Linked DNA regions of Arabidopsis thaliana. The protein of the gene in region 2 interacts with the protein of the main gene of each other region in a pairwise test. Each region holds a gene or a part of one and is shown on either strand. Other genes may lie near its edges. The genes, in order: MLO15, PEN3 and AT1G14340.

Region 1 (10,970 bases), on a different chromosome or scaffold from region 2:
TGAGCAAAGTGTCTATGTGTAGAAGAAAACACACAAAAACTGACGAAAGTTGCGATTTAAATTTGAGTGAGTGTGAAGCTACAAAGAGGTGGCAGAGCCTTTAAATAGGGAAAGAGGAGGATGAGTTTGCTTGCGGTTGAAATAACGCGACGGTTCGTTTAAATTTTTAAAAACCCCTATAAACTTGATTTAGCAGCGTATGAAAAAAATCAAGATTCGTGTATGTTGCAAAACGCAAACGTATCTAAAAATTTATTTCTTAATCATTCCCTTTCAATCTCACCAAACAGGCAAGAGTCAACACATGGGTTACTTTGATGCGATTTCCTTAATAAGGAATAAAACTTTGAAATGGAATCTATAACAACTGGTTTAGTTCATGAAGACGGTGCTTTTGTTAAAACAATCTTTTCATAAAACAGGAAAAGTAGAAAGCTTCTAGAAGACTTTCATAAGGACAAAATGAACAACTAACAGTGGAGTAAATCATATACTCCATAAGAATTTGATTATTTGAATATCAACCAAAAATTCAAGAAATGTCCATGTTGTTTCATGATGTAAATTGTAAAGGCAAATAGTTGAAGTTAGGTCAGTGGTTACTTGGTTAAGTGAAGTTAGGTAACAATATTGTATATTATAATCACAAATTAAATTGACAGTATACTGCGCCGCACTTTTTGTTTAACGCTTTTACCACTGTATAGCGTCTATAGTTTAAAAACAGTTTGAACTAATAACTTTTTAAACTAGTTTATCAACTAGATATCTAGATTACTATTCCATTTCAGTGTCAATTGAAACCGAATCTATGACATCTTGATAATAAAGTTCACGAAGACCAGTAGTGAGCTTTTTAGTCTTTACCATCACTTTTTATTTGAAATAACAAAAAGCTTCTAGAAGCTATGCAAAGACAAATAATATGGAGTAATAAGGAATGAGTCGTATTCACTGACGCAACCGTCAACCGATAAGTAAACATCTCGTGAACTGTTTCTCCCTAATTTACTACAATTTAAAACAGGTATATTAATATGTATGATGGACATTTTCATTTCATATTGGCATGTGCACGCACTATCAAACAAATTCTTTCACGAATAGTCCATATGTATAGATTCTTTATGTTTTGCCAAAAAATTTGTGCTTAGTTGTTATAAGTTGTAAGATATCATCATGTGTTTTTAATTTTGTAATACGTATTATTTTACGTAGAAAATTGCGAGGGCAGTTTCGTTTGAATATAAGATTCATCAATAATATTATGATTGATTATAACTTTATAAAGGTTTCTACTTTATTATAGTCTTCTAGAAGAAGTTCTCATGGATATACATTGGCATTAACTATCCTTGGGTCTTACTCTTCGATTATTCAACATATTATATTAAAACGTTGACACGTCTATTCTGCGATGCACCGACGTAAAGGTATGTCTCGCGGACTTCCAGCCTCACACAAGTCATCTCGTCTCCACCGGATAATTAATGATGCTTTCTGTTGTTTTACTTTGGGGTTATTTATGAATCTACGCTTACTATTTGTGCCGTTATTTAAAACATGTTTCAAGGGAAGAAGATTAATTTGGGTGTTAGCGCACGATATGAACATAGATAGACAAGAAGAAAAATGAAAGTCGGGGATAAGAAGGAAAATAATAAGAATGGGGTCGAACATTAATAGGGGGCTGGTCCATTACACTCTATCCCATTTTCCCCACATTGTCTGTTCTTGTTTCGTCAATTGTCCTTTCTTTGATTACTCTCTACTTATGTATTTTCTCTCTATCAGCTTTTCTAGCTTTATTCATCACCAATTATTGTCGTGTGTCAAGAAAAAGTAACGTAGAGTTTCTTTGAATAGTAGTAGTAGTTTCGCATATAAACGAGTACTTTCGATTCATTTTCATTCCTAAATGGTAATATTGGCTATCAATAGGTCGCGTTAGTCAAAGAAACAATGGATACATCTTTTGAAACTTTTTGCTCGACAAGAAAAAAGCAACTATAATGTCATTTAGTTTTGTTTTATTTCCCTTAAATGGATTATGGATCAATGGATGATGTAGTACTGTTAACAGATTCTATTGATGAATTTCACGACTATCGCAAGACGAATTTGAAATCATCACGAAACTGAAGTTGTTGTTTTTTTTTTCTTTTCAACGAAGGTTGATTGATTTACGACTACGATGAAGTGGATTGGTTTCTAATTAATTATTCCTGAAAATGAAACCAAAGATATAATACAACTATTACTAAATGAAAAGAAGAAAAATAGAGATAAGGGTTCTAGAAGATAGGCATTGATATTTGTTTTCCCTTTTGGGGAGTTTGTCATCTTTATGGGGGAGGAAACAAGTGGGCCGAAACTGGCAAGCACTTATCCTCTTGGCTTTAGTCTTCTTCTTTACGGTTACTAAAGTTTTTCTCTTTCTTTTCTTCTAGAAGACCATATTGACATTTTTTTTTGTATCTCTAGAGTAATAGCACTAAATATAAACCTAACTTTTGATGTTAGTCTAAGACAATAAGACATACGAAGCTTTAAAACTCTATTGTTTTGAATGATCACAATGTCACATATCAATACTTATATTCGATCTAGAAGATTTGGAAGAGTATAGATTTAATTTGTTGGTTTATGAAAAGAAAAACAGTATTGGTGGAAGAAAGTATTCAGAAGGGCAAAATCGATGACATGTAGATGTAGATGGACAAGGCCTGAGTATGTATATGTCATTTAAAACCAAGCCCAATTTAAGTTAAATAAATAGGCCCACTTTGGAAAAATGACTGCTGACTAAAAAATTAGGGTTACGAAATAAACCCTAAACCCAGTTTCGACTTTGTTTGTTTTGTCCTCCTTCTACGCCGCACACTATCTCTTCCTCTCTCTCAGACGAGATTTCCTCTTCATCTCAAGTAAGCTTCTCTCTTTGATCTTCTTCGTTTAGTTTAGTTTTTAATCGTAAGTTTTCTTTTGATTCATTATAATTTGTTTGTTCTGATGTTTGTGAGATCGATAAACCCAGTTGTTCTAGTTCTATTGTAGAGAAATTCACTTTGATTTTAGATTTAGAATCGTTGCATTGAGTTTTCCGATCTTCTATAATTGCTCCTTTTCATTTTGCTGTTTGGTTTTAAACATTGTCGTTGATGTTCCTGCCTTGCTTCTCTGTGATTAACAATCTGTTCAATTTCTCAAAGGTGTCTTTTTTATTTGATTAGTATAGCTTATTTTTGGTTTGTTTATGGCATGCTATGTATGTAGGAGAAATGGCTGAATCCAAGGTAGTGGTTCCAGAGTCTGTGCTAAAGAAGATCAAGAGGCAAGAGGAATGGGCATTGGCCAAGAAAGATGAAGCTGTAGCTGCTAAGAAGAAGAGTGTTGAGGCCCGCAAGCTTATCTTCAAGAGAGCTGAGCAGTATGCCAAAGAATACGCTGAGAAGGTAATAAAGCAACACTCTTTTGTTCATCTTTGCTGACTAAGATGACTGTTCTGTTCATGGTTGTTGTAATGAATCATGATATATTATTTGCATGCTTGTTTAGGATAACGAGTTGATCCGATTGAAGCGGGAGGCTAAGTTGAAAGGAGGTTTCTACGTTGACCCTGAGGCTAAGTTGCTCTTTATCATTCGTATCCGTGGGTATGTGCCTATTATTTGTGTGTTACATAAGTTGTTGCATATAGATTCTGTTTTTTATTTACGTGATTGTTTGTCATTTGCAGTATCAATGCCATTGACCCAAAAACCAAGAAGATTCTGCAGCTCCTGCGTTTGAGACAGGTAGGTTTCACAGTTTGTTATTTTCATCCAGCTATATTAGCCTAACATATGATTATTGATTAATATTTGTTATATGTTCAAACTAATATGTGATAGTTGCCTGTTCATCATTTTTAAAAGAGAGTAGAAGACTATTGCGTTGTCAAGAAGTTTACTTTCGTATACATTTGTGCAGATCTTCAATGGTGTGTTTCTTAAGGTGAACAAGGCAACAGTAAACATGCTGCGCCGAGTTGAACCATACGTGACTTACGGGTATGCAATCTGATTCTCTCTCTTTCAATAGGATTATGTAAACTAAACTATATGCTGCTCTAAACCGAATGATATATCTGGTGCAGATACCCAAACTTGAAGAGCGTTAAGGAACTGATCTACAAAAGAGGTTATGGAAAGCTGAACCACCAGAGGATAGCACTTACTGACAACTCCATTGTGGATCAGGCTCTCGGAAAGCATGGGATCATCTGCGTTGAGGATCTCATCCACGAGATCATGACTGTTGGACCTCACTTCAAGGAAGCCAACAACTTCCTGTGGCCATTCCAATTGAAGGCACCACTCGGTGGCCTTAAGAAGAAGAGAAACCACTACGTCGAAGGTGGTGATGCTGGAAACAGGGAGAATTTCATCAACGAGCTTGTCAGGAGAATGAATTGATGAAAGCTTCCTTCTTTATCTTTGCAAATTTCAAAGATTTTGGGACCGAGTTTTTTTTTTTTTGTTCAAGTTATCAGAGACTTGTGATCTTTTATCCGAGATAGGCTTTTTATGACTAATCATGTTATTTTCCAATGGCGGGCTTTTAAATTGATCTTGAATTTTTATTGGCTGTTAGATTGTTCCTTCGAAGCCCACCAATCCATTAGAAATATCTGGTTTTGACCGGTTGATTAAATAATTCCGGTCGAGCTGTATCAAAGATAGAATGCTCTTAACCGGAATCGTTGACTTCAAGAGTACAAGCTGTTCTCCATTTTTTTAAAGAGATTATATCGGTTGTGCGAAATTGTCCAAATTTTGTTTTTATAGATTGACCGATCAAATATTGTAGCGGTTAATTCGTTAAAATAAAACGTTTGATCAGTTACATTTGATTAATTCAATATCAAGTCAAAATTTTATCTTGTTAAAGGAAAAAGAAAAAATATTGGGTTTAGACCTTTGACAAAGGAAAAAAATGGGGACTTAAAGAGTCTAATTAGACCTCAATTAACAACTCTTGGTGGCTCTATAACATTAGTAATTTCTATTTAGGTTGTACATTGTAACTATCCAAAACTCTAAATAAAGAAAATTACAAAACATAGAGGGGACAAACACACACTGACACCGCATACATTACACATTATATAATGTGCATGAATACAACCTACACTTTCTAGTAAAGAAATGAAAATGAATATAACCTACAAATTTTAATATTTAAAGACACGTTCTAAAGAATAAGATCGCCGGTTTAAAACAATTACCTGGTCATCATTTTGGATTAAACTCATTAGGCATTCATTATATAATTGCACCAAACAAGAAGGGGATCAAGAAAATCACGAATCACCGGAGCAAAAAAATGGCGGGAGGAGGAACGACCTTAGAGTACACACCAACTTGGGTGGTTGCTCTCGTCTGCTCCGTCATTGTCTCTATCTCTTTTGCCGTCGAGCGTCTCATTCACCGTGCCGGAAAGGTTATATATTACATATTGGCTCCTTGTGTTTATTTTATATGTATGCATAATTCATTTAGACGTTGTAGACTAAATGACTATTATGGATCTATGCATGAGGAATATAGCACTTTAAGAACAACGATCAGAAGCAGCTTTTTGGGGCATTACAAAAGATCAAAGAAGGTGACTTCATGTTTTTGTTGATAAAAAAAAAGATCCATCATGTGATGATATCATTTGTTCTAATAGGATTCTTAAAATTTGGAAACAGAACTCATGCTAGTAGGGTTCATATCGTTGCTATTATCGGTCGGCCAGTCTAAAATCGCAAAGATTTGCATATCAAAGGAGTTAAGTGAAAAGTTTCTCCCTTGTACGAAACCTGCAGGGGCTGAGAAGTCCCTTAAAGACTCCTCCCATTTCCAGTTCAGCTTCACCGGCCGTCATCTCCTCGCCGGAGATGCCCCCGCCGGTGACTACTGCTCCCTAAAGGTATTCTTATCTTTGCAAATCTTTTTTTGACTTACACGTTTTATTTGAAGACGTGCGTAGAATTAACATAAATTTGTCTATAATATGATATCTTTTTTGAATCTTTTTGTTTGTTTTAAATTCAGGGAAAAGTACCAATAATGTCATTATCAGCTCTGCACGAGCTTCATATATTCATCTTCGTATTAGCTGTTGCCCACATTATTTTCTGCCTCTTAACCATTGTTTTTGGTACCATGAAGGTATTTTCTTAATTACACCTTACTTAACAATAAATCTTTTTTTTAATCTTTATTAGTTACGAGATATCACGAACAAATATAAGCTAGTGATAATCCTAAACTCTAAAACCGGACAACTTCTATTCGCAGAATAAGTTTTTTATTGTGTCTAATGATTATAACAAAATGTTATGGCATAGATAAAGCAATGGAAAAAATGGGAGGATAAGGTTTTAGAGAAGGACTTCGACACAGACCAAAGTATAGTACAAAATCTTGTTTCAGGATCTTGAGAACTTTTCATTAATTATAGTCATTTGTAACGTTAACAAGTCTTATATATACACATATCTACACAGTGATCCAGAAGAAATTCACACACGTTCAAGAACACGAATTCATCAGGTCACGATTTCTTGGGGTTGGAAAAGCTGATGCTTCCTTGGGATGGGTGGTGAGTGTTTTTGTTTTCTCACAACTTATCTTACTTGTAATTAAAGACATGTTTGTATGTGTATATGCAAGTTTTTGAGTGATATGTGTTCTTTTCCTTTGCAGCAATCGTTTATGAAACAGTTTCTTGCGTCAGTCAATGAATCAGATTACATCACAATGAGGCTAGGCTTTGTCACGGTATATATCTTGGATTTTTGATTCGTCCTTTGCTTTGTGTTTATCTCTACTATAATGTCTAAAAACAACTTTTTCTATTTGATCTTTATAAGACTCATTGCAAGACCAACCCAAAATTCAATTTCCATAAGTATTTAATGCGTGCCCTTAATTCTGATTTCAAGAAAGTCGTCGGTATCAGGTAAATAATTTATAGTTTTTCCAAAAACCAATGCAACATAGTGTTCTTGATTCTATTCTAATGTATATATCAAATTGCAGTTGGTACCTTTGGGTATTTGTGGTTCTCTTCTTGCTTCTAAACATTGTTGGTGAGATACTGAGATGACATCTTTTAACTTTGATCCAATACAAAGTTTTCTTCTCTTCTTTCTTTTTTCGGTTGAATGATCATCGACTCGATATTTCTTGCAGCATGGCATGTTTACTTCTGGCTAGCTTTTATTCCTTTGATCGTAAGTCCCTGAAAACCTTCTCAAAGCATGTCTATGCTTCAAACCTATCTAAATCAACTCTTTTTACGCGGTTTTCTCCTCAGCTTTTACTTGCCGTGGGGACGAAGTTAGAGCATATCATCACAGATTTGGCTCATGAAGTTGCAGAGAAACACATTGCTGTGGAAGGAGATTTGGTTGTCCGACCATCAGATGATTTGTTCTGGTTTCAAAGTCCCCGGCTAGTTCTCTTCTTGATCCATTTCATTCTTTTCCAAAACTCCTTCGAAATCGCCTACTTCTTCTTTATCCTTGTAAGTACTCTTTACCATTAATCGATCTAAACCAATAATCTAGAAGATATCAAGATACGTACAGAGAAAAGTGAAAACTCATGCAATTGTAACAACAGTTTCAATTTGGTTGGGATTCATGCATCATGGATCATGTCAAGTTCGTAATTCCAAGACTCGTCATCGGGTAATAATAGCCAAAGCTACTTAATATCGATCTTGTTATGAGCTTCTTGATCTTGAAATGTGAAATATTTTTGCAGGGTAATAATTCAGCTTCTCTGCAGTTACAGTACCTTACCGCTCTATGCACTCGTAACTCAGGTACAGATTCTACATCTCTTAGTCAATTTTCTTGTGTTCTTATATCAAACTAGACCAAGACACAAACTCAAAACCAAACCTTCTAATTTTTTGGTGAAAAGATGGGAAGTTCATTCAAAGGTGCAATATTCAACGAGCAGACACAGGAACATCTTGTTGGATGGGCAAAAATGGCTAAAAGGGGAGTGAAGAAAGGCGCAACACAAGTAGGTACCAGTCATGATGCTACTAGTCCAAGACCGTCTATTCAGTTGAACTCCTTGCTAGGAAAAGGCTCCTCTCAACAAAATCAGAACCCCAAGGAAAAATCAGAGATTGCTCACCATGATTAACAAACAAAAACTTGTTCTGACATTTTTTTTGTTGTTGTGATTTTTGATTTTTTGAACTTGTTCGACTTTGTTTGGTATATATAACTGATTGAAAGGCGTTGTAACAAATAAACACAGCAAAGATGCTGAATCTGTCTGCCAGTTTGATCAAACAAGATATGTGATTTCTACAGAGCCGTTTATAATGCTCAATTTTGTGTTCGTTTATATGATTTTAAACTGACATGTGAAGAAAAACAATCTATGTCGGTTTGAAGAACAAAATAATGGTTTGTGTGTATTACCAGTCATTTAATATGCTTAGTTTAGTTTTGCTATGCATTTACTATTCAACTTGTTAAGCAACGACTCTCTACGAAACGATTGAGACGATAATTGTTCAAACGGAAGAGCATGATGATATATTAGACACTCCAAACAAAAACCACGAAATCCAACATTTTAGTTTTTTGAGAAGAAAAAAACAGACTGCGATAACCGGGAATAGGTACGCATGATGAGATCGGTTTGATTTAGTATTTTAACAGAACATTTGGTGAGACAACTTTTAAGAAGAGGGAGAAAGAGAACCGGTTACATCATTTGGTGACTAACAGAGAGAGACAGAGCTTGCAATATTTTCCATCATTCCTCCTCTGCAGCACTAGCTGCGTTAAGATCCACACTTAGATCCAGTTCCTGCAACACAAAACAATGATCACTCCCCAATTACAGAATATGTCGCCGTCAATTAATAAAAACCGATATATTTGTGATTCTAGAACATTACCTTTCCGGTGATCAATTTATACATGTTCAACACATCAACAACAGTTGTGTCAAAGTGTGTTGTAGCATCATAACTCTGTTCAGGACATGAACAAAAAAGGTTATTAGAAACCAGCCAACTTTAAGATGCTCACTAAAAAAGGGGTAGAGAAACTAACCGTTGATATGAAGCAGTTGTCCAAAGTGGGTTCGTTGACAGGCTCATATCTATCATAGATGTCGAAGAACAGCTCATCAACAGGACCAAGAAGGTCGATTCCAGGCTGGAGCTCGGTTTGAGGGTTATCAGTTTCAGCGTCTGTTGACACAAATGCTATGAACTTTCCCTTGGGAGCAACGTTGTGTGAATATGAACAACAGAAGACATACCTGTCAGTTACAATAAAGATGTAATCATGAGCCGAGAAACAAATATATCAATCGACTCAATGTTACACACTGCCAAGTTTTATAGAGTGTATGTGTTGTAATCAAGAAATAATATAGTTGAGAAGAGTGTGTAGCAAGGAAGGTATCTCAGCAAGCTCAAGAGAATAATTCAGACAAAGATTAGCTAACACATTATTCAAACACATTTACATAAGTGAAACCAAAGGATGAATAAGAGAACTCACATGTCTGATTTGCGGCCCAATTGTTTTTGGGGTAGAATGACTTGCACCGACTGAGAATCATTGGTGTTTGGAATAGGGTGGCTCATAATGGCAATCGCCCGAGCAACCCTGCCAATCTTCCTGACCTGTTTGAATTGGATTATAAAACATTTTAAAATAATGTTAACATACAGGCTCACATTGTTAAAATTGCCTAAAAGGCTCACATTCATAACAACAGACCATAAAACAGAGATGAGAGATATATGCATGCAACAAAGCTAATGTTACTGTAGGATATCCGGTCACAGCCATTACCTTGTTGGTTAGGTAAGAAGGATCGCAGACAACTTTCTTGCATTTGGCAGTCTCTCCCTCAGATGTAACACCAGAAACCTTACCCTCCTCGTCAAACTCTACCTGTTATAAAAGCAATATTAGGTTATCAGATCTAGCATCCATATAGTTAACGACAGAAAAAGTTGCAGAAACGACCGAAACAAAAAAGCCACAAAGATAAGGAAGTCAAAGACGCACCTTGCACTCAGGTTTGTTCAACATATACGTCCCACCATAGACAGCACTAAGTCGTGCAAATGCCTGAGCCAAGGAAGATAAGAGAGAATTTAGAAACTATAGTCCAAAACGCCAGAATAGTTGCACCAACCAAATAAAGCAATGTACAAAAGAAGAAAAAAACCTGAGGCAATTCTCCCAACCCATAGAGAGGATAGATATATGGTGAACCTCCTTGAAAACGTGCAAGGGACTCTGCGTAGAGCTGATAAAACATTTAAAGCAACAGAGTCAAACATGAAATACTGAGAGCAAAAAAGAAGACTTCGAAAACAAGGGGATCCACACTTTAAAGTCCCATGAGAGCAATTCACCTTCATTCTCATTACAGTATCATAGGCAGGTTGATGGAGATGATTGTCATTACAGTGAAGTGCCACTGCATGACCAATAAAGTCAATAGTATCTTCTTTAAGACCGAATTTCCTGCCAAAGTGTTAAATTGATAGTTAGCAGCAGATAGTCTAAAACAAATATTGACAACACCATAATGCAAAAGACAAGAGAACATCAGCTTACGCAATCAAATCCTTAGTTGTAACTCTCCTCAAATCCATTCCATCATGTGTTTTTGGGTCCTTCTCGTCGTATTCTTGAACATAGCTGAAAAACTTTCCAGCTCGACGTTTCTCAAAAATACCCATAAGAGGAGATTTGAGGGCCTCCATGGGAGTTGCTGGCACTTTTTGGACCTGTAGCATATAAACAGTTAATATAACTAGAAAAAAATTACTTAAGCTGCAAAGCTAGAATGATCAGTGAAAAGCTTTTGACCAAGATCAAACATGGGAGAAAAAAAGATGCACAAACAGACTTGAAATCTATGGAAAAAAAAGAG
Region 2 (11,994 bases):
TTCTAAGCAAATTTTAAATAATTCCTCTTAAAATAATGGTAAAGATGTTACTACATTGAAGTCAAAGATGTCACAATTTAAGCATACAATATAGTTAAAATTATATATAAAAAAACCCCTAAGAATAAAATATAATCCAGTTAATTATATATTTTGAGAATATAACCCTAAACTCTGTTTCTTCTTCCCCAAACAGTTTATGCCAAATTCACTCCCAGCTAATAAAATAAAATAGAAAAACTCGTTGAGCCGCCATTGTTTCCGTACTATGGAGCTTAAACTAGCCACCGCCGAGAAACAAGTTCGTCTCTTTCTTTCTTTCTTTCTTTCTTTAATTTCTCAGGGCAAAATTCCCACTTTTGTGGAGTCGAATTAGCTTCTCTGTAACTAACCATTCCGTTAAAATAGGTGCTTGACGAGTTGGTGAAGCTATTGCAGAGTCGAGATTTGCGTGGCGAAAATGGAAACTGGAAGGAATTTTTACATGTTTACGACAAAAATGCTGATTCACCAAGTGATCCTTCGAGGCGTTCTCATGAAGATTTGGTTCAGTTTCTGACAACTTTTAAGAAGAAAGAAGATTTGCAAGTAAGTGAAACTGAAGAAATACACAATGTGATTGTAATCTTTGGCCACTAAAGTTTTGTTCTTTTTTGCTGCTAAGCTTCTGAAATGTCACGCCAATCATCTTCTGATTGAAAATTTGAAGCAAGAATCCCAAGATGAAGACACTCCTGAGCAGGTGGGAGATGCTTTTGTTATATCTCGTTCTTTGATAGGAATATGTTTGCAGTGAGGTTTAAGATGTTGTTGTTTGGCAATACAGATGCTAGTTAGATTGACAGTTGAGCATCCGAGTTACTCGTTAGACTATTCTTTCAAGCCATACTCAGAGGTTTTGTTTCCTTCTCCTAAACAATGAGTTCTTGTTACGTGTTTTATGCGGTTGTTTAAGAGTTGTTGAATTGCTTAAGCAGGACTGGTTTGTATCCGATGTTGGAATGAAGATGAAAAAGGTGATGGAATCAACTAACATGGTAGCTGTTGATTGTGAGATGGTTCTTTGTGAAGATGGGACTGAGGGTTTAGTTAGAGTTGGTGTTGTAGACCGTGATTTAAAGGTATAGCTTAGAGAGAATCTTTATGCTTTAGTGATTCGTCTTTTCGCAATGGACCTGCTTTCTTGACGAGGGTTATCAAATGTTGAATGGCTTTAGGTGATTCTTGACGAGTTTGTGAAACCGAACAAACCTGTTGTTGACTATAGGACAGACATTACAGGGATTACTGCTGAAGATATCGAAAATGCTAGTCTCTCTGTGGTAGATATACAGGTACCATGTAGAGTCTTTCTATTGGTTTTATCTTCACAGCAGAAACGTATAGTTGTTATGTTGTTAACTTTGTGAAAAATGTGCAGGAAACTTTGCAGCCCTTTCTTTCTACGGGTACGATTTTGGTTGGTCACAGTTTAAACAGAGATTTGGAAGGTAAGCATAAAGTTTCCAGTAGAGGATTTTGTAATTGTAAGTTTTTCGCTAACAAGTTTATGGTTATTTTCATATTTTGATGCCAGTGTTAAAGATAGATCATCCTAAAGTAATCGATACCGCACTTGTATTCAAGTATCCGAATACACGAAAGCTCAGAAGACCTTCACTTAACAACCTTTGCAAGGTAAGTCTATTACGTGTTTCTCTACTCTTGAGATGAACATCACAAAAAGATAACATTTTCAATACTTTTTTTCATTTGTTGAAATGGTTTTCCCAGTCTATTTTGGGTTACGAAGTCCGAAAGACCGGTGTTCCTCATGATTGTGTACATGACGCATCAGCTGCGATGAAACTTGCACTTGCTGTTGTAGAGAAAAGAGTTGACACAACAATCAAACCATCTAAAGAGGTTTGAAATTACCAAACATGCAGTTTTATCATAAATTCCAACAATAACAAATGTCTGCATTTTTACCATAGATGTTGGAGGTTGAGAAAGCAAAACTCTTTCTACATAAAATCCCTAACAATGTGCCATCTGAAGAGCTTGAGCAAGTTCTTTCTGGAAAGTTTACACTTGATGTGAAGGTTGAGAAATCAAAACCATGTACTTTCTCTAAGTCTCTCGAACATAGAACCTTTCTCTGACCTCAGCTATTTTTCTTTTGGCAGCAAGCAAAAACACAGGGACGTTACTATTGTGCATTTGCTCTTTTCCATAGTTCAGAAGACGCAGATCAAGCATTTGAACACATTGATGGAATCGAAATGACGGTATAATTTTAGTATCTCTGCTTTTGGATCCGCAACTATCTTGATCGATAGTGAAATAAGTTTGTGTGTTATGTTTTTTTTTTTAGGATTCATTGGGTTTGCCACAAAAAGTGGTCATCATTAAGCTGAGTTCAGGATCAAGAGCTAGTATATATGTCCGTAAAATGGTTCAAGATGAATGATGCAACCTAGGATTAGATTAACTATTCAATGAATTGTTTTTTCAGATATTTGAACAATCAATGGCAAAATTCAATGACTAGTTTTTTTTTTTATAATTTGCAATTGTTTCTTTTATAATGGGAAACAGAGACAATATACTTGTGTGTGTATGATAAGTGTGATAAAATCTGAGTCTTCATGATCAGTCGCTTTCATAGTCTTCTTCCTCATCTCCAAAGGAGAAGACCGATGCATCTGCAGCAATAGCTTTGATATCACTAACTGCTAATGAGTTGTTTGGTATTGGATTATAATGACCCGAGGACGATGAACTTGTGACACTTCTGTTTGCGGAAGGGTCATCTCTCTTTGGTGGCTCATTGATCTGATGAGGTTTACTAGTTGTGTGCATTGAGCTTGCGGTTTTCTCGTTAGTTGAATAAGACTGAGAGTTTCCTTCCTCTTCCCCATCACTGTCAGAGAATACATCGTCGTCTTTCTCATTAGACTTAAGTTTGCTGGAATCAGCACTGGAGCTGCTTTGAGATTGTTGTTGGGTGGAATCAGATTTGGACTTTGTTGGTTGTGAATTGTCGGGTTCTATCATTACGATCTCGACATGGAAACCCGGTGCAGGCAGTTTTCTCTGCAAAAACCGCCAGGGATGAAGCAACCAGGTTTGTTTCTTAGATCTTATAAGGCTATGAAAATTTCTTTTACCTTGTCAAAGCCATCAAAGTCACTGCCTTTCAGCATTGTTCTGTTATCAGTCAGTGTAGTATTTAGCCAACTGCGTGCAGAAAACAGTAAAAGTTAGTGAATTTGTCGATTTGGAAGATGTCTGTGAAGGAAGAAGAGAGTTTACCAGTAGAAATCTCCATCGCTATCTTGAAAGTGGATTTTGAAGTCGCCGGCTAATTCTGTTAGACCAGCTTCACCAGGTATTGCAAAGACAACCACTCCCTTTTTGGGTGCCTTTATCCAAAAATCTTCAGGCTATAACCCACAAACACAAGTTTATACGTCAAGACGAGTTGCGGTTATAACACCAGATGAAAGAGAGAGAGAGAGAGAAGAACCAAGGAGAACAATGCCTACCCCCAAATCCTTGGTTTTCTGATGTTTCTTTGTTGAGAAAAGTATATCTGTTCAATAGAAGAAAATGAGCATTTTTCAAACGTATGCGAATATTCAAAAGATGAGAAGAAACTAGCTTTGTACCAGTGTGGTTGGAGATCGTAATGGCAGGTCTAATCCAGTAAGGGCAGTTGATTAGGCGAAATCCTCTGAGCATGCATCTACATAAATGTTTATTCTCTGGTTAGGGATATATGAATATCAACCACAAATCGTACTACCTGATTGGTCAGATATGTCTAAAGCATACCTTCGCTCGGGTGGAACTTTCCCGTCAAATTGGTTTTGAACACGTTCGTAGTACTTGACATATCGCTGAAGGAAACAGGAAAGCTTGTTTAATAGGATGAGGGAGAATCGAATAAGCACATTAAAAGATTGGTGTGAGCTCAGAACTTACAATCTGACTTGGGAGAACAAGAGCTTTCCCATCAAGACATCTCTTTTGGTTATAGTAATCAATAGCCTCTTCAGCTGTAGGAAAGAACTGCAATGGAGTTACCAGTAAGATCTGTCACAAGAGTCTTACAGAGGAGGAATGCGTGCATCAGCCAAGACTTTGTTTCATTTAAGAAGTGTCACCTTGAGATATAGAAGAAGACAGCAAATCATTAATCCGGTTCTTGCCATTCCAGCTTTACAATGAACTACCACTACATTTTGGATATCTTCCTTCAGCCATGTGTATGCACTTTGACAAAACGATGGTATCAATTGGATAGGAGGACAATTATGATCATCAAATGGGAAAGATGCAACCTGAAGAAAAGGAAATCAGACAAGCGATGAAGCAAACACTGTAAGAGGTCTATAAACACTAGCTTTAAAAACAATGACAACCACAGAAACTGCCTGCAAGATATATGGTCTGAGATATCAAGTGCTAGAGTTTGTATATACCTTCCCCTCAAATCTTGAAGCATCGTACAATCTCTCTGAACAAAGGTTGTAGACCTTATATTTATCCTGCATATCGGGGGCAAGGTTTAGAGTTCTGGTATGTACCAATATGATCAAACATAAACCAAGTAACCACTACATGTCTGGGCTGCAGTGTCTTATCAAATCCAACTGGTGTGAATCTTATGAGAATTAGTGAGTTGTCAAAAACTCTTTAAGAGGCTTCCAGTCAGTGCCAATGGTTACCTTATGATGAGTTTCAAAAAACTTTATCACCTCTTCCATGTGATTACGATATAGTCCCTGAATATGACATTTGTCAATGAGAAACTCAAGACTAAGAGAAGAAAAGAACTGGCTGGGGAACTTATATTTCAAACCAGACCAAGCTATTTACCTCGAAAAATCCGAAAAGACCAGAGCTTATGTCACCAGCTGGGAACCCCATTGCGATTATATTCTCAGTTATATATGTCATGTCCAAATCGAATTCCCCCTCCTGAAGATTGCACCAGGTGCCATGTAAAGCAGAGATGTAAGTGGTACTGATCAGGGCATACATATATACTATAATCTAATCGATGCATTACACTAGACAGCAGGGAAAGCTCATAAAAATAAACAACTGCTAGTTTTGGCCCATTCACTACAATAGGGTAGTGTGCTGCAACAAGCTGTTGTGACTATAAGGTGCCTCAGTTTCAAAGAATCTAACAAAAGCAGAAAGACAGCATTACCATACCTGGTATCTTCTTTTGTTCTGAGAGACAATGTGGCGTGCTTTCACCTGCATTGCTTTAACGGCACCACGAGATGAATCAACCACAGCTTTTGTGAGGGACTCAAAAGCACCACCAACTTGTGTGTTTGATGATCTAGAATCACCAACCTCCTCAGACCCTTTCGTTGGCAAATGCAGACCAAGTTCAGAGGTGAATCTTGTGAAAGCTGACATCCCAGAATCTGTACGATTTGGATCTTGCTGCTGGAATTTAAAACTTTTGGCCCAAGAAGAAAGACCAGAAGAAGAAAATATAGACGGCGGTGATTCGCGTGGGGAGGAACCTGGTGGGCATGGAACTATATCATCTGTTTTACTTAAAGGTTCAGAGCCGGTAGAACTAGCAGGCATTTGAGTATCATCAACCTTTGCAACAGAAGCTTCTGTACTAATAGAGTCTTCATGAGCTTCTCTTTCAGCGCTCACAGGATCTTGTACAACGCCCACAGTATTTTCAGAAGGTTCAGGAATCAATACATCTTTCTCAGATACTACAGCTGGAGACTTCGATGAAGAGTTAGCAGGATCAGTTTCCATTTTAGCAATCCAACGCTAGCTCAGACAACGATGAGCCTTACTTTACGAGAAAACGAAAACCTAAAAAAAAAAAAAGTCAATTTCACGTTTGAGTATTGAGTCCAGTTTCTCATTTAATCAAACACTTAGCAGAATATACAGAAACGACTCCAAATTCCCACATTATACATAAGCAATATCCAGCTAAAGGTTTTGGCTAAATTCGCTTCTATAATCATCTGAAAATAGCACTGAATACGCAAAATTGCTTCGGAGGATAAGGAATCTAAGACCGTACTAGTGCACATTGCTATAATCCAAAGGTCGCATTCATTTCCACATCTCTCTCAACGCCAAATTCAATGGAACTAGATCTCTCAAATCAGAAAATCAAGTGCATCATCTAGCAGAGGCAGATCAAAAATGAAACAAGGCTTCCAAATTCGACAAAGCATCGGCCGCGAAAGAAAAAGAAAAAAAACGAGAGAGTAGACATTGATTACCGGAGAATGCAGGACGATAAGCTTCGAGTTTTTTTCCGTAGCGAAAAGAGATTCAATGGAGGAGGAAGAAGATTGGAGCTGATTCTGATTCAGAGCAGCAGCGTACGAAATTTCCGATGAACGTGCGGAGATTAACGATCAATTCCCGTTTTATCATCCCCCGCTCTTGCCGGTCAGAATTTTGTGTTTCGTTCATTGGGCCTATATGGTCACATTATGTTGAATCCTAGTTGGTCTGGGCCTTATAGATATCGAAAAGGCCCAGTTTTGGTAATCCAGTGGGCGTAAGTGCGTGACGTGTCAATGTAATCACAAACGATCTACATATCCTACTATATAATTTGGGAAATACATTTTAAATGTAATCTTAATTTTTGTAAGTAATTACATAGGGATGCCATTAGAAATAAAATTTTAAAGAGTAAATTAATTTATGTATTTAAGGATTAAAAAGTCAAATACTAATTTAATTAATTAAATTAATTAAAAAACGAAATACATTATTAATTTTCAAAAATAATAGCCAATCAAAATCAACATATAAGATTTGATATCTAAATTTTAATTAATTTAATTTAATTTCAATATGGATTAAATCTTTAATTTATTATTTTAATAAAATTTACAAGTTTTAATATATATTACTTTTAAAAATAAATCGTCCCGCGGTATACCACAAGTTAAAATCTAGTACATATGTATAATATAACACACAAAAAAATGCTTTGAAAAACAAGTTATAAGGTTAAGAAGGTGGCTTATAATAAGCGTAAACAGCGTAAAAACTTTGAGAGAAAGTGAGGACTAGTAGAATAACCGCAGCACAGAAAGAAACAATTGCCCATGGATTATTGAAGTACTTATGTTTCAACGTAGCCCTCCAAGCATTCCACTTATGATCGTAGTAACGATTAACCTCAATCGATAACCTAGATAAATAGCTATCTTCGGTGTCGAATACAACTTCTTGACATAAACGGTTGAACAAATCCGCGACTTCAGAATCGCTCCCTAGCCAATGTTCGATGATACCACAGTAGTGTAAGTAGCTAACATCTTCGTGAGAATCTATTAGATTGTCCATGAAGATTATGTAGGATGTTATATCATTGCTCGAATCGATATGACACTGCTCAAAAGCTATAAGATTCAGAAAAAGAGATTTGGTACCTACAAAAAAACATACGAGGATGGCTTTACTTATTATAAACATTTAGTTGTTTTGTTGAGAAAATGTATTTGTTTCATTATCTAAACTTTTTGCCAATCTGAAAACACATACTCTTTTCCATTGCTTAGATCATTCTGAATTAGTCAATTGATGACATTTCTTATATTCCAAAGTAGCATTTTTATGCAACATACCACATCAATACATCATGATTCCTACTAATATATTCTTTGTCAATCCATATAAACCAATACAAACGAGAAAATATCAATTTATATGGATTTGATGAATTAAAAAGGTGATGGATAAGAAAAAAAAACTGTAACATTTTACTCAAACAAAAGAAAAATAAATTGTAAACATATGGGGCATGTGTTAAAAAGAAGAAAAATGTGAAAAACGTGAACGTACCGTCATGGATAAGTAGCCTCGGTATTTCTAGATAACCGTTTTTGAATTGCATATCCCAAAACCGGTCGGTTTTCCTTCTTCTGAATTTTATACCAGCCTCTTTTAGTTCCGTCACACAATGTATCAATTGTTGCCGGCGCTTGTCCGCCACACGCGTGTTTCGAGACCATCTCTTTCTTGTTAACCTCGGCTCCGGTTTAGGACTAGACCGTAACAAACTACGACGGAAAACATCTAGACAATGCAGTTCACCCATATCAGCGAATGGGTCAAAGGATTTATCTCTTGCCAGTGAGTTCTCGAGTTTTGACTGGCCAGATTTAGTCAACGGCTCGTCCGTTGGCATTAGTGGATCAAAGAACCGAATTGCTAATTGTGCCACCAAACCGGTTTGGTTCCGTGTACCAAGCTGTAACTCTAATAACCGGTTTAGAACAAATAAAGGAAGTTGATTTTCAAGCATTACCATGTCACGTTGAATCGAATGCATCGATCCTCTCATCGCGAAAACTGGATCGTTACGTGCATATCTACACAAAACATTATTGTGACCGGTTTAACAATTATTTGAGAGAACCGGAAATAACCAGATATTGAAAAAATCAGGCTTACCCGAGTTCAGTGAATCCTTCAACGGCTCCTCTAAAGAGCTCAAGCACAAAACAACCATCAAGAACTAGCATTTCGATAAATTCGTTACTACTCAAACTTAAGGGACCTTCGTAACAAGCTCGAGCCTTTTCCTCTAGCTCTCTCATGGCGTCGATATACATTTTAATGCCTTGGTTCGTACGTTTCAAGACTCTATTGACAGCACGCCATTTGTGACGGTCCATAGACCGGAGCCGTTTCTTACCATGATGGTACGGACCAAGCGAGACTGTCTGAGGGAAATACGATTTGTTGTCGTTTTCTTGAAGGTAATATGGAACTCTGTAGATACAGAGCTTACCCCAGAGTGTTGTGTCATCATCTCTATGTGCTTGTTCGAGCTTGTCTGTGATCGAGATCACCCAATCGTCTCGTGAATCTTTTGGACTCTCTTTGATTACGTAGATAGCGGGATCGGATTGAGTTTGCTGGTTGTTATGAATGTTTTGATCTTGATCGGATCTGGTGATTTCGGGTAAACCGGGGAGGTTTTGATCTTGATTAACCAATACGGATTCTTGGTTTTGTGTTTCGAGTTTTTCGCGGATCTTAAGGGTGAGTAAGTACCAGCTCAACATGTCTTTGTAGAAGACAGCCACCATTTTTTTTGTTGCTTGAAGCTTTTTTAAGAAAATGAGGGAGTGAGAGAGAAGGAAGTATATGTGAATGATTTGAAGATATAATTGGTTACTTATTGTACTTATGGACCCAACTGATCTGTAATGACAACAACCATAATTAGATATTTATAAACACACACACACACATATTAATATCTTTGAAGAAAAAAGTAACAACTAAAAGTTTATATATCTTACCTAATTATTTTAACTACTAAAATATACAAATTAATTTGGAATCGTGCGGCTTAAAAGGGTAACATAGAATAGAAAATATGCATTTGTGTTCTATAATTTACCATATATCCGACCATTATCCATAGATAATAGAATTTTGATATACCCTTTCGTTTTGGTTTGAGTACGAATCCTTAACGCATCAAAGAAGGGTAAGGTCATTGCGCAACCATACTAGAAACGCTCGTATGGGGAATATGAGAGTCGTTGGACAAGATAAGATTATTTGTCTTGTCGAATTTGGGCAATTTTAAACGATAAAAGCACAAAATAAAATCTCTTCTTTAGTGGTTTTTTTCTTCTCCCTTTTTTCCTTTTTGCTCTTTGTGTCACATCTTGAAATTCACATTTCATCGTTGTTATTGATATTCTATGGGGTATTTGGTGCATTATGGTATTTTTCTTATATCTCGAGCAACAATTATTAATAAGAAAAATAGAAAATAAAAATATAGTGAGAGCATAACGGAACATGTACACTACACAGCTAGTGTGTGGAACATGGCACGACCTCACCATTTCTCGTATGGATGATGATTGCTCAACAAACTTTGAATCTATATTGGTTGACGGGTCACAGTTTTTTTTGTGCTTATTTTCATTAGCCAAACTCTAGGGTGTGGCCGAAGACTAATCTATGATGTAAAAGAGAATAGTAGAAAAGGTTTTCACATTAATTTTATCAACTGTAAGAAAAAGGTAAAAAAATGTTTCCTTCTTATTCCATGGAAAACCCAAAACACAAAAGTGAAATGAGAAGAAACTTTTTCTTTAGGTTAGAAATGTGGAAAATATTTCCTCTAGTGATCACTTCCCATTTTTTACTGTTTTATTCCTCTTGTTTTTCTTTCTTTGATTGCACCCAATCAAACCTTTATATGATTTTATTTAAATTACTGTAGTACATTCGACAAAAGTGAAATTGACTATCTAGACTCTTTAGTCTTAATACATCGAGTGTTATGGAGATTTTTCGTCATCTTGGAAAGTGAGTCAAACTTTGGAATATCCGTCAATAGACAATGGTCATTCTCATTAATGTTTTGGAACATTGTTGTAGTCTTAATTTCCGATAACATATTCAAATCTGAACATACCACATCATTGGCTGGAGACGTACTGGTGAATCAAAAGAAATTTTAAAGAGGTGTACAACTTAATATAACTATTTGGTAACCATATAGTGCTAAACTAGTGTAGAAATGCAATTACAAGTTTAAGCATCGATGGTAAACTAGTTTGGTTGTGACGACGGCAAAAATGTCTCTTGGGACGATATCGTTTTATCGACGTAATCTATATTTGTTCTGACCTGTCTCAGTGTCTCACCTCCTATGAAGCTAACTGTTAATATATATATGGCATCGTCCCCCCTAGACCTACCGAGTCACAGCGATACTTTCATGCTACCACAGACACCTTGTCATGATCAGATTCAAGACATGTGAACAATCAAAAATAAGATTAAATAAAAATGCTGGAAAATTTTAATTTTAGTTTCTGATTTTATTTTTGCAATACAATAGAAAATAAAATAAACAAAAATGCTCGAAAAAAAGTTACAAACATTCCAAGTTTAATGAAGGAAACTACTGAATAATAATGAAAATCAAGAAGGTGGGTTAAAATAAGGATAAGCAGTAAAGAAACTCTGAAATAACGTGAGAACTAGCAGGACAAGAGCAGCAAAAAAAGAGAAGTATGCCCAAGGATTATTGAAGTACTTGTGTTTTAAGATCGCCTTCAGAACATTCCACTTTCGGCTATAATTCCGATCAACTTTATTCGACAATTGTGACAAATAACTATTTTGGGGGTCGAAAGCCACTTCTTGACATAACCGGTTGAACAAATCCGCAACTTCATAATCATTCCCTAACCAATGTTCGATGATACCACAATAATGCAAATACCTAACATCTTCCGACGAATCTATTAGATTATCCATAAAGATTATGTACGATGTTATATCGTTGCTCGAGTCAATATGACATTGTTCGAAGGCTATAAGATTCGAGAAGAGAGATTTGGTACCTGCAAGAAACACGAGAAACCATGGTATATGTGTAAGCTCAAGGAGTTAAACGATTGTATAAAAAAGTGTATTTTTTGTAGCTATTGCTTAAATCATTCTGAAGTAGTCAATAACGAATAATTGATGACAATTCATTTACGTTGGCAACTTGCGGAGAAATTTTGGTTTTATGATTATAAAATTCGAAGAAAAAAAAAAATCATGTTGGTGTGTAAAACGTGATTTTCTTAAAACCATGTATATGAAGATGGATATCCATTATGATTCATGTTCTTTATCATTGGGAATAAAGTTTGAAATGTTACCGTCATGGATTAGTAGTTTTGGTATCTCGAGATAACCGTTTTTGAATCGAATATCCCAAAACCGGTCGGTTTTCCTCGTCCTGAATTTAATACCGGCTTCTCTTAGTTCGGTCACGCAATGTATCAGTTGTTGTTGGCGCTTATCCGCCACGCGAGTTCTCCATGACCATCTCATTCGTGATAACCTTGGCTCCGGATTCGAACAAGGCCGAAGTAGATTTCGACGGAAAACATCTAGACAGTGCAACTCACCCTTGTCCTTATCAGCAATTGGGTTAAAGAATTTATCTTGTTC
Region 3 (9,184 bases), on a different chromosome or scaffold from region 2:
TTAAATACAGTATATTGACAGTTCCGAAACATATAGAGTAATATAGACAACAACAAAAAGGTTAGTTTTTAGAAAAAAAATTGGATCAAAATATACACACACCTCAAATTAATCCAGAAAACACGCACTACTATTTTTTATTTTTTCCGGCATTTAAAATATAAACGTTTAGTAGAGGTTAACTTGCTTGGGATTCCTACAATCGCATGGGGCCTCACTCATATTGGAGCCAGCTTTACTTCTTCTTTTAAAATACTTCCTCCTATACCTACAAGGCTACAACGAAAAGCTCTTATATAGTCTCAGGAATCCGATGTCCATTTTAATTTTAGTTAGTCCTCCGTTATCATTCGATTAAGGTGCCCTTGATCATCAGATTTTCCTTGTATATATTATATACACTAACCTTTCTATTTTTAGTTTGGCTTTATACTAAGGTTTCTTATCTTTTAGATATGATCACTCTAATTTCTTTTCATTGCTTTATATATATACTGTTTTGTTAAAGTTAGCATATATATGGATTATCCTTCTGAAATTATTCAAAATGATCTACCAGCAGAATTTTTCAGTTTATCTGTTATATGAGGAAACAATGGGAGGGTGTAAGAAAGACATTCTTGCACAATTTAAGGATGCGTGTTAGCCTGACATTTGACAAAACTTCTACTATGCGCCGCCCTTTTTCTATTTATTTTAAAATTAAAAAGACTGACCAAATTCAGAATTAACCACTTTCCTTTTTGAGATAAAGTTAATAGTATATTATAAGGTTTTTGCTTTATATATAGATTCTAAGTTATCCGAAGAATTCAGCTGATATTGGATATTGATCCCATATTGTATTTTGGATTTCTCGTGAATACGCCATTTTAGAGGTATGTATGTGTACGTATTCAATACGCGTACTTGTTTACCATGTAGACATGAACTTTTACAGATGCGCACAGCGCACGGACATGTAAGTGCACATATGTGCCAATCAGCCCATTCTGCCCATGCATGTGAAACAATGTGACATAAAGCTTGGGAACAAAGAGAGAAATATGAATTCTGCAAAATGTTCCTTTTTAATTGAAAGTTGCTGGTGGATAGTGAGCCATCTATCTTTACGGTGTATATTTATGCTTTATATGCAACTTCTATGAACTCACATTGCGAAACCAACTTCTAACACTATATTTTGGAGATAATGTATTCATATTTCGGATGTTTCTCTAAAAATAGTGCATCATTGGAGTGGAGATATAAAAACTATGGGTGTTATTGGTTATATTTGTTAGAGTAAAATAAAATATTACTCTAGATTCGCCTATGATTCACAGAAAAAGGAAAAAAAAAGGTTTGAGCTGAAAGTGTCGAAAACTTTATAATTTTTTCCGCTACAAAACAATTAGAGAAAATGGACAGAAATAATTACGCCAAAATCTATTTTTATTTTACTCCCACATCTTTTTGCTTTCACCATATCACACCCTATATGTGATTAGAAAACGTATAGGATAAACAATGAAAGAAGACAACGGGGTATGATAAACAAAGAATAAAAACAAGAATAATATGGTCAAAATTGGGAAATGGGGAAGACTACATAAGATTTGATGAGAATGTGTCAGAGGCAGAAGCTTTAATAAGACTCCCTATACATACTCATCAACCTTCTCTTACGAAATTCTCTACTAATATTTTTTTAACAAATTTTAGTGGAATCCAATGGAGATTATTAGATTAATATGGTCAAATTTAACAGATAGGACCATATGTAGTTCTTATTAATTAGTCTTTGAACTACTAGAATTAAAGTACTAACAAAGGAAGCTATTGAATATGTAATCCCATTTCTTGTATTTGAATCCGTTATCCCATAAAAAACGTAATCATATTTTCATATGCGAGTATAGAAATTAATGTGGGCACATTATTCAAATTATACATTTTCGTTTGCCCATTTGTATAAACTTGATAGTTTTTACTTTTTAGAGATTAATTTGCTTATGATGAATCTTGGTTATTAGAAAAGTAGAAATAAATAAACGTGTATATAAATTAAAGATAATTGACGCTATTTTGAACTTGAATAATTAATAAATAACTTTGGGCTGTTTTTTTTTTAATCCAAACTTTGGGCTGTTAATCCTCTATATTCTTAAAATGCAGCCATATGAATAAAAAAGAAGAAGATAGTATTAATATCCATGCCATTTCTCTAATCTAAAAGAGGACTACCTGCCGTTTCAACATTAACCAAACATCACGCCGTTTCTTATTGTAGAGCTAAAATCGCGCGCCGTTTAGATACGATCGTCTTAACAATACAGAGATGAAGAAATCAATAACAAATGAAAGAACATGGAAAGGATTCGATTTGTACTGAAGAAATCACAACAAGAAGAATCAATTTTGCCCAGAAATGAGAAATAATCAAAAGCCTTTAGCACCAGATTCTTTCAAAACAGCAGGTTGATCAGCCATAGATAAACAGTACTTAGCAATCTCTCTGAACTTAGGGACACTTCTCAAATCCACTTTAGTTCCATCTTTCAAAGTAATGATGATATCTCCCCATTCTCCGATGAACCTCGGCACAACTTGAACGTCTTTTATCACTTTGTACGAGAAATCGCTCCGATCATCTCCGGTGAGTCCCGAAATAACCGTCACGCGGAGGTTAGTGAACCTGTAACGAAGGTTAAAAGCTCGAGACACTGCAGCTAAGGTTAGTGGGAGCCAAAGGATGGTTAGACCTAGAATGAGATTGGCTAATAGATCTCCGTAATGAGCTCCGCCGTCGAAGTAGACTGTTTCTTTCTTCGCCGGTTTGGAATCGGAAGGAACGGTGGATGCGGATGCGGAGGAGGAAGCTAGGAGCAATCTTTGAATGTGTCTTTGTGGTAGTTTCGTGGAGGGAGACAATGAAGAAGCGGGGAAGGAGAAGGTGGTTGAGAGGAGGAGAGATTTGCGAACGACGGAGGTTACGGCGGTTGACGGCGGAATTGAGGAAGAAGCTGCCATGAGAGAATGATTTGAGTGACTGGAAGATTTGGAGTGAAAAGATGATGACTTCTCTGTTTTTTGGATTTGATTTTTTGGCGCAAATTGTGCCACGTGGCCTAAGCTCTATGGATACAACATCTATCCAAATATTGAATCAATATCAACCATAGAATGATATAAATCAGAAATTATATAAGAAAAAAGATTATGCTACTAATGAAGAGTTAAGATGTAGGTAATGTAACCAAACTCTATATCAGCATCATCATGTGAGAGTATACTTTGATAGATTTCTATATGGTATTCGTTTTGATAAAATTTGGTCTTATCACACTTCATGAGCCAGTTATTCATGATCAGCTTTGCATCATATATATTCACAGACGAATACGGTTCTGAATCGGGCCATTGGTCTATTCACTGCCTTGAGCCGCGGGTACCGAGATCAGATGCGGCTTTAGCAGCTCTCTCTAATGCACCAGACAGCCAAAGAGCTCCGCTGGAGAAGTAACTGCTATTGACAACACTAGTTGCAGCTGCTGCCGCGGTTCTTCCTGTGGCAAAGACAGCTGATTTAGCTGTATCTGAAACATGATACCTTTGGTCAGTCATTCTAACAGCTTCAAGTCCGGTAAAGATTTTGTCAGTAAGACCAATCCTCTGTTCTAGTTGAGATACTCTAGCCACCGCTGCAGCTGATACGCCGTGGGATTCATCAAAGGCTTTAGCTTTGCTTAAAGCGTCTTTGCCTAGCACGAATCCTGTGGCAAGCATTATTTTCACCACTTCTTGAGCTTTTGTCACTGCTTCTCCAGCGTTGAACTCGCTTCGTTGAGCATAATGCTACATGATTGAAGAACGAATAAGCTTTAGAATTGAGACCAAGCATCAAACTTCAACATAAAGACTACTGAACCAGTGACCGTTAGATTTAACTATTTTAACAAAAAAAGAAGACAGAAAGATCAAAGTTGAGAGAAGTGTCAAAAGCGATACATACTTGTGAGTCCGATTCATCTTCAAAACCTCGCGAAGTCGCATTCCAGAAATCGAACTCTTCGTGATGTTGTCCCCAACGAGTTATACAAACACGCTGATCCAATATCGTTGCGCCCTGAAGATATCAAAGAAGTGAGTGATTTCTCAAGAGACATCCAAAAAAGATAGAAAGAGTGAATCAAATCCAAACTAACACTTACAGTGAGTAAAACAGCAGTTTCTTGAGAATAAGAATCCTTAAACATCACATAAGCAGTACAAGCTTGCTCACCCGACCTAGTCTCATTAACAACATTACAAAGTGTACTCTTTTGAATCCAGAATAAGCAAACAAACAACAAACTTGCTAAAAAGTAAAAAGACTCACCTGACAATATCAATATCTTGGATAGTACCAGAGAAAGAGAAGAAATCGATAAGATCATTATGAGTAACAGATGGAGATAACCCAGTAACTTCAACACCATATCCAAATTGATGATCCATCTCTGCTCAATAAGCTAAAAACAAAACAAAAAACCTAAAAATTTCAACATATCCTAAGTCAATAAATTAAATTACTTCCAGTTCGTGATTCAACTTTGGGAACTACATAGAACTTTCCGATTTAGCTTTACATGATTTGGGATTGAAATTTTCAAGCGAAATTTGAGCAAGGACAGATTGCCAAATATGTTCAGACCTAAATCGTTGATTCACTAAGCTCTAGAGAAGAAATTTAAGGAATCGAAGAATAGAAGTTACCTGTTGTAGTTGTTGTTGACCAACGGAGATCACACACAGAGAAGCTTGAAAGAGAGACAAAGGTGATGAATTGATGAAGTTGATGATGTGAGTGGGAAAGAGAAGGACTACCTTTTCAGTGAACGAAAAAGACGCAATTTTAAAAAGCTAAAAACTGCGCCGTTTAGTAACTCAATGTTGGGCCTTTAATGTCTTGAGTTAGCCCATATCGTTAACGGTTCTAAATGTAATAAAAAATTCTACATGAAAGGCCCAATGTTGTTTGATTATTTTCCAGTCTCAAACAACCCATAATCACAAATATTTTTTGAAACATAAATTTTCATCTTATGCTATTTTTTATTTTAAAAATCAGTCTTTACATATTAAAATTAAATCATTAATCATTACTAAGTGTTTGTACAAGAAGCAAAAATTAACAATCTATAGACGATTTTGTTTTTTTTCAGCAACGATTTTAACATTCTAGAACCTTTTTTATACCTTAGTATTGCATGTATATATAAAAATTGGAGTAATTTTAGATATTATCTGTCTAACCGTCCAAAGTCCAAACAGGTAAAAGTTCTCTAAGTGATAACTTTTTAAAATCTCTAAAGAGACAAATTTGACAAGTGTATGTGATATAAATACTTATGTTACTGTTAATACATGAGAGAAATTCAACGGAAAAGAAAGTTAGACCATTTTCATTGGGGGTTTTTTATAAGAGTTTCTCACAATTAAAAAATAAAAATAATAAAAATGAAGGAGAGAGAGTAGAAAGTTTCTTACTTGAGAAACTCTGAGATATTCTCTACAATCCATCATGATAATTCCCTTTTAATTATTGATTCAACTTTTTAATAAAAATATTTTTTTAATCAAAAAATCAAATTATAATATAATATTAATTTTTTTTTGTTTGAGAAACTTTGTGGGTTTTTCATGGATGGAGATGCCCTTAACTAAAAAGGAGAAAAAGAAAAGACGTGTGCCTAACAAATGTTTGATGTAATTGGTAAAAAAACGCAAAGAACATTATTATTATTAATATTCTTTGCATATGAGCCGTTGGCCAAATCAATACTTACGTCTCTCTTTCTCCATCTCTCATTGTCTCTTTCTACTTCTTTCCACGGCCACGTCCGTCTGTCAAAATTTACTAGTTTTTAATTCAGATTGATCTAGTCAGAATCTACTTTTTTTTTATGTGTGTGGTTCATGTTTCTATATTCTGACCCCTGCTGCAGTGAATTGCTATTTATGTATTTTTCATGCAAAACCAAAATTCACTGCTGGAAATGTATATTTTTCATATATGTAAACACCAGATAGTTTAATTTTGTTTTTTCACTTGTCTACCAAAATTAGAACTTTTATTAAACAACAACAATAAGGTGCTTGCGACTATAGCTTTAGAAGTTCAAGTATATGGATTATGGAACTTCTAAAAATTGCGACTATATATAAGCAAAAAACATATATTTAAGAAAAAAATAAATGTTCTAAATTACAGGAAATAGTTGAATATTGGTCCTCCAAATACAATTATCTTCACCATATATGATTATAACAATAAAATATAAAAGGTTGACCATTGACTAATGTATATATTCTATAGCTAGGTTAGACGTTTTGATTCGGATTTTGAATTTCATAGTGAAAGATTTTGATATTGAGTTGACGTCAATTCGGAGATCTACAACAAGACTACAACGTGTTTTATCAAACTCACCTGTTTTTCTTAAATCATAATTTTCTTTGTCTTTAATTGACTCGATTAGTCGATTCAAATATCACATTCCAAGTTGATATCTCCCAATTTTCCTCTATTGTTAATAGAGTTTGTTTATTGTTATTATATTATTTGTATCTAGTAAGCTTTTTTCATATGTGATTCTTAATAAGTGTCTTCTAAGATTAGTCGATGATAATCTTTGTCATTGTTCCACAAATCATAAATTATAAGCGTCAAACCTGAAACAATTTCTTTTGTGTGGTAGAATTCTGGAGTTCTGAACCTTTTTGTTCTACACATTTTTCCATATCCACCGAAAACTAAAACGGCCGAAACCAGAACAAACAATTCTTAGATGTTAATCATGTATTGTTTACTCTTCGTATTTGCCTGATGGTCAGCATTAACCAATACTTCAACTTGCAATTATGACCAAAAGAAACACAAAATGTTTTCATACGATCCCATTAAAGTGAATGTATTTAAGATATTTATCATAATGTGTTGTTTATATACCATATATTATGTTATATTATCCATAGACAGCAAAATTTAGAAGACTAGATATAAGATGTGATAAGTTAGTTACATTCAAATCTATGTAATCTTGAGTTTACGAAGAGCACGTGTTGAAATTCGACGTTGACTTGAATGACAAGGCATTGCCAAAAGAGAAGAAAAGAAGAAGTAAAGGTATTAGGAGCCACCACGTTATCTCCTTACGACGGATAATTCAAAACAATTAGCTGGTATAACAGCTATTCAAATACACACACAAAAAATCTTTTTCGATATTTTTTGTAATGAGAAGAAAATATTGTAATGTGCTGCAACTTGCAACTTGTAATGATCAATTTTCAACCTAATACTTTTGTTGGCAATTTTGTCTTTTTCCTCAGTTGTGAATACAGATGTAGCCTGGGCTTTCACGCGTCGGATAATGGCTCGTAAAGTAATGTAACTCACATGAGAAGGTATATCAACTACTCGAAAATAAATACAAACAAAATTTTGGGGATTCTCTTTAGCAATCTTATACCCATTCTTATGTAACACAATACTCAGATTCTTAATAACACTTTCACATATATAAATTAGGAATGTAGTCATCAATTAAGACACTTAATATAAGAGAGATTAATGTGGAAAGAAAAGGAATGTGAACACACAATACAAACAGATCACGTGGACAGCTCTTAGGACTTCACTTTCAGACACAAGTCACTAATAAGATACGCCAAAAAAAAACAGTCACCTATTCGATAATTTTAGAAGAAAATTCGAAAGCAAAAATAAATAAATTTATATTTAACCTTTCTCCAACCAATATTCATTTTGTTTTTGTGGTCAAAAGTCAAAACCAATATTCATTGAAAACGAAAAGATAATGAAACTTTACCATATGAAAATACAAACAGCTCTGTAGAATATATATATATTTTTATTAATTAAGGGTAACTGCATTTCTGCTGAGATAGTATTAGATAAATATCGTTGAAAGGTAACGGAATTTTAAATTCATAGTTATTGACCTTTGACTCCAAAAATCTTATCAAACTTGGAAACTTTGATAGAACAATACGTCACAAACATTATCGAAATTCAGTAAATACAAAATGGTTATTATTAACACCACAATGTCTCAAAGATTAAATTTGTAATTTATTTATAAAGTAGTACATAAAATATGGATCTTAGACCTCTTCTATACGATGTCAACTTCAACGATTTTTTTTTTTTTTTCATTTTCATTGCACCTTGAATTACTTATGAAAAGGTTTCACGAGCTTGGATAATAGTCAAAATACCGTGTTAACTGTTAACGATACCATACATCTCGCCTTAAGAAGATAAAGCAAAAACTAAATAAAAAGATAGATATAACAAAATAAGAGAAAAAACACAGTTTAGAAAGATAGATATGCAAATGATTTGATTAGATTACTCACAAATTCTAACGACTGATAAAGCTCTTTTCTACCGTCCAAATAATGTTTAAAGATGGCCTTCACACGTGGCAATTAATGAGTGGATTACAGCTGCCAAGATGCAACTCGCAATATAATAATCCTTTAGTTGCACGCTAAAATCTTTCGGCGCGACTTAAGCTTCGATGATTTATCAAAATTCTAATCAATGCGTGAAATATGTAAAGATAACATATGGTACGATCAAGACCTTTATCCATAATAATAATAAGTGTCTTACTAATCTTTTAGTATTTGTTACATTTAGATTTATCTCATGCTTTGAAAAAGGCCATCAGCTAAACGATAAAACACTTGTAGATGAATAAAAATTATGATAAACCAACACGTCCAAGAGAACGGACGAATAATATTTTTTCCGATGAGATAAAAGAGCCCACCCACCATATCAGTTCTGGTCAACGGACAACAAATAAGTAATGCATTAATCTCGGTAATAAACTACTAGTAATAACAATGGTATTAATACACTAATTTCATGATTTAATGTGCAAAGATATACTCCCACGTGCGTCAACACGTGCTCCGTGAACCTCTAGATCACTTTGTCGACAGCTTTCTCGTTTTCCTAATTTATCTGTTCAGCTTATTCAGATAAACATACATCCTCTTCTTTCCAGTACAGTTTTTAACTGAAATGTTATGTTCGAAGAACAGAAAAAGTATAATTATATTCCAATGAAAAAGTACTACTATATATTCCTAAATAATATTTCGTGGAAATGCGTCTAGGTCGTCC

The links.
Region 1: the proteins of PEN3 (region 2) and MLO15 interact in a protein complementation assay, tested with the Arabidopsis thaliana proteins (one large-scale study listed by BioGRID).
Region 3: the proteins of PEN3 (region 2) and AT1G14340 interact in a two-hybrid assay, tested with the Arabidopsis thaliana proteins (one large-scale study listed by BioGRID).

The regions. Positions count from the first base shown.
Region 1 is NC_003071.7:18,242,714-18,253,683, reverse strand, and holds MLO15 (Seven transmembrane MLO family protein), read left to right. Parts: upstream 1-5,224; 5' UTR 5,225-5,367; coding exon 5,368-5,484; intron 5,485-5,591; coding exon 5,592-5,649; intron 5,650-5,737; coding exon 5,738-5,958; intron 5,959-6,083; coding exon 6,084-6,200; intron 6,201-6,379; coding exon 6,380-6,440; coding exon of another isoform or gene 6,441-6,445; intron 6,446-6,538; coding exon 6,539-6,633; intron 6,634-6,737; coding exon 6,738-6,812; intron 6,813-6,904; coding exon 6,905-6,993; intron 6,994-7,073; coding exon 7,074-7,123; intron 7,124-7,226; coding exon 7,227-7,267; intron 7,268-7,350; coding exon 7,351-7,560; intron 7,561-7,658; coding exon 7,659-7,726; intron 7,727-7,802; coding exon 7,803-7,863; intron 7,864-7,964; coding exon 7,965-8,195; 3' UTR 8,196-8,327; downstream 8,328-10,970. Other genes in the region: AT2G44120 (Ribosomal protein L30/L7 family protein), read left to right, coding at 3,267-3,455, 3,559-3,656, 3,740-3,797, 3,973-4,052, 4,139-4,457; GDI1 (guanosine nucleotide diphosphate dissociation inhibitor 1), read right to left, coding at 8,820-8,873, 8,965-9,039, 9,122-9,332, 9,578-9,702, 9,875-9,976, 10,094-10,156, 10,257-10,337, 10,447-10,558 and 1 more.
Region 2 is NC_003074.8:18,578,143-18,590,136, forward strand, and holds PEN3 (PTEN 3), read right to left. Parts: upstream 6,672-11,994; 5' UTR 6,270-6,671; intron 5,848-6,269; 5' UTR 5,788-5,847; coding exon 5,212-5,787; intron 4,969-5,211; coding exon 4,867-4,968; intron 4,773-4,866; coding exon 4,716-4,772; intron 4,536-4,715; coding exon 4,470-4,535; intron 4,329-4,469; coding exon 4,152-4,328; intron 4,057-4,151; coding exon 3,970-4,056; intron 3,885-3,969; coding exon 3,820-3,884; intron 3,731-3,819; coding exon 3,654-3,730; intron 3,578-3,653; coding exon 3,531-3,577; intron 3,429-3,530; coding exon 3,298-3,428; intron 3,223-3,297; coding exon 3,153-3,222; intron 3,079-3,152; coding exon 2,635-3,078; 3' UTR 2,467-2,634; downstream 1-2,466. Other genes in the region: SDN1 (small RNA degrading nuclease 1), read left to right, coding at 269-301, 409-588, 665-742, 827-895, 978-1,121, 1,218-1,334, 1,421-1,490, 1,577-1,677 and 4 more; AT3G50120 (transmembrane protein, putative (DUF247)), read right to left, coding at 7,015-7,439, 7,852-8,381, 8,464-9,104; AT3G50123 (uncharacterized protein), read left to right, coding at 9,832-9,975; AT3G50130 (transmembrane protein, putative (DUF247)), read right to left, coding at 10,969-11,393, 11,700-11,994. UniProt on the Arabidopsis thaliana protein: Protein tyrosine phosphatase that also exhibits a weak lipid phosphatase activity towards PtdIns(3)P.
Region 3 is NC_003070.9:4,893,004-4,902,187, reverse strand, and holds AT1G14340 (RNA-binding (RRM/RBD/RNP motifs) family protein), read right to left. Parts: upstream 4,843-9,184; 5' UTR 4,738-4,842; intron 4,494-4,737; 5' UTR 4,480-4,493; coding exon 4,361-4,479; intron 4,270-4,360; coding exon 4,194-4,269; intron 4,109-4,193; coding exon 3,995-4,108; intron 3,838-3,994; coding exon 3,412-3,837; 3' UTR 3,153-3,411; downstream 1-3,152. Other genes in the region: AT1G14345 (NAD(P)-linked oxidoreductase superfamily protein), read right to left, coding at 2,422-3,012.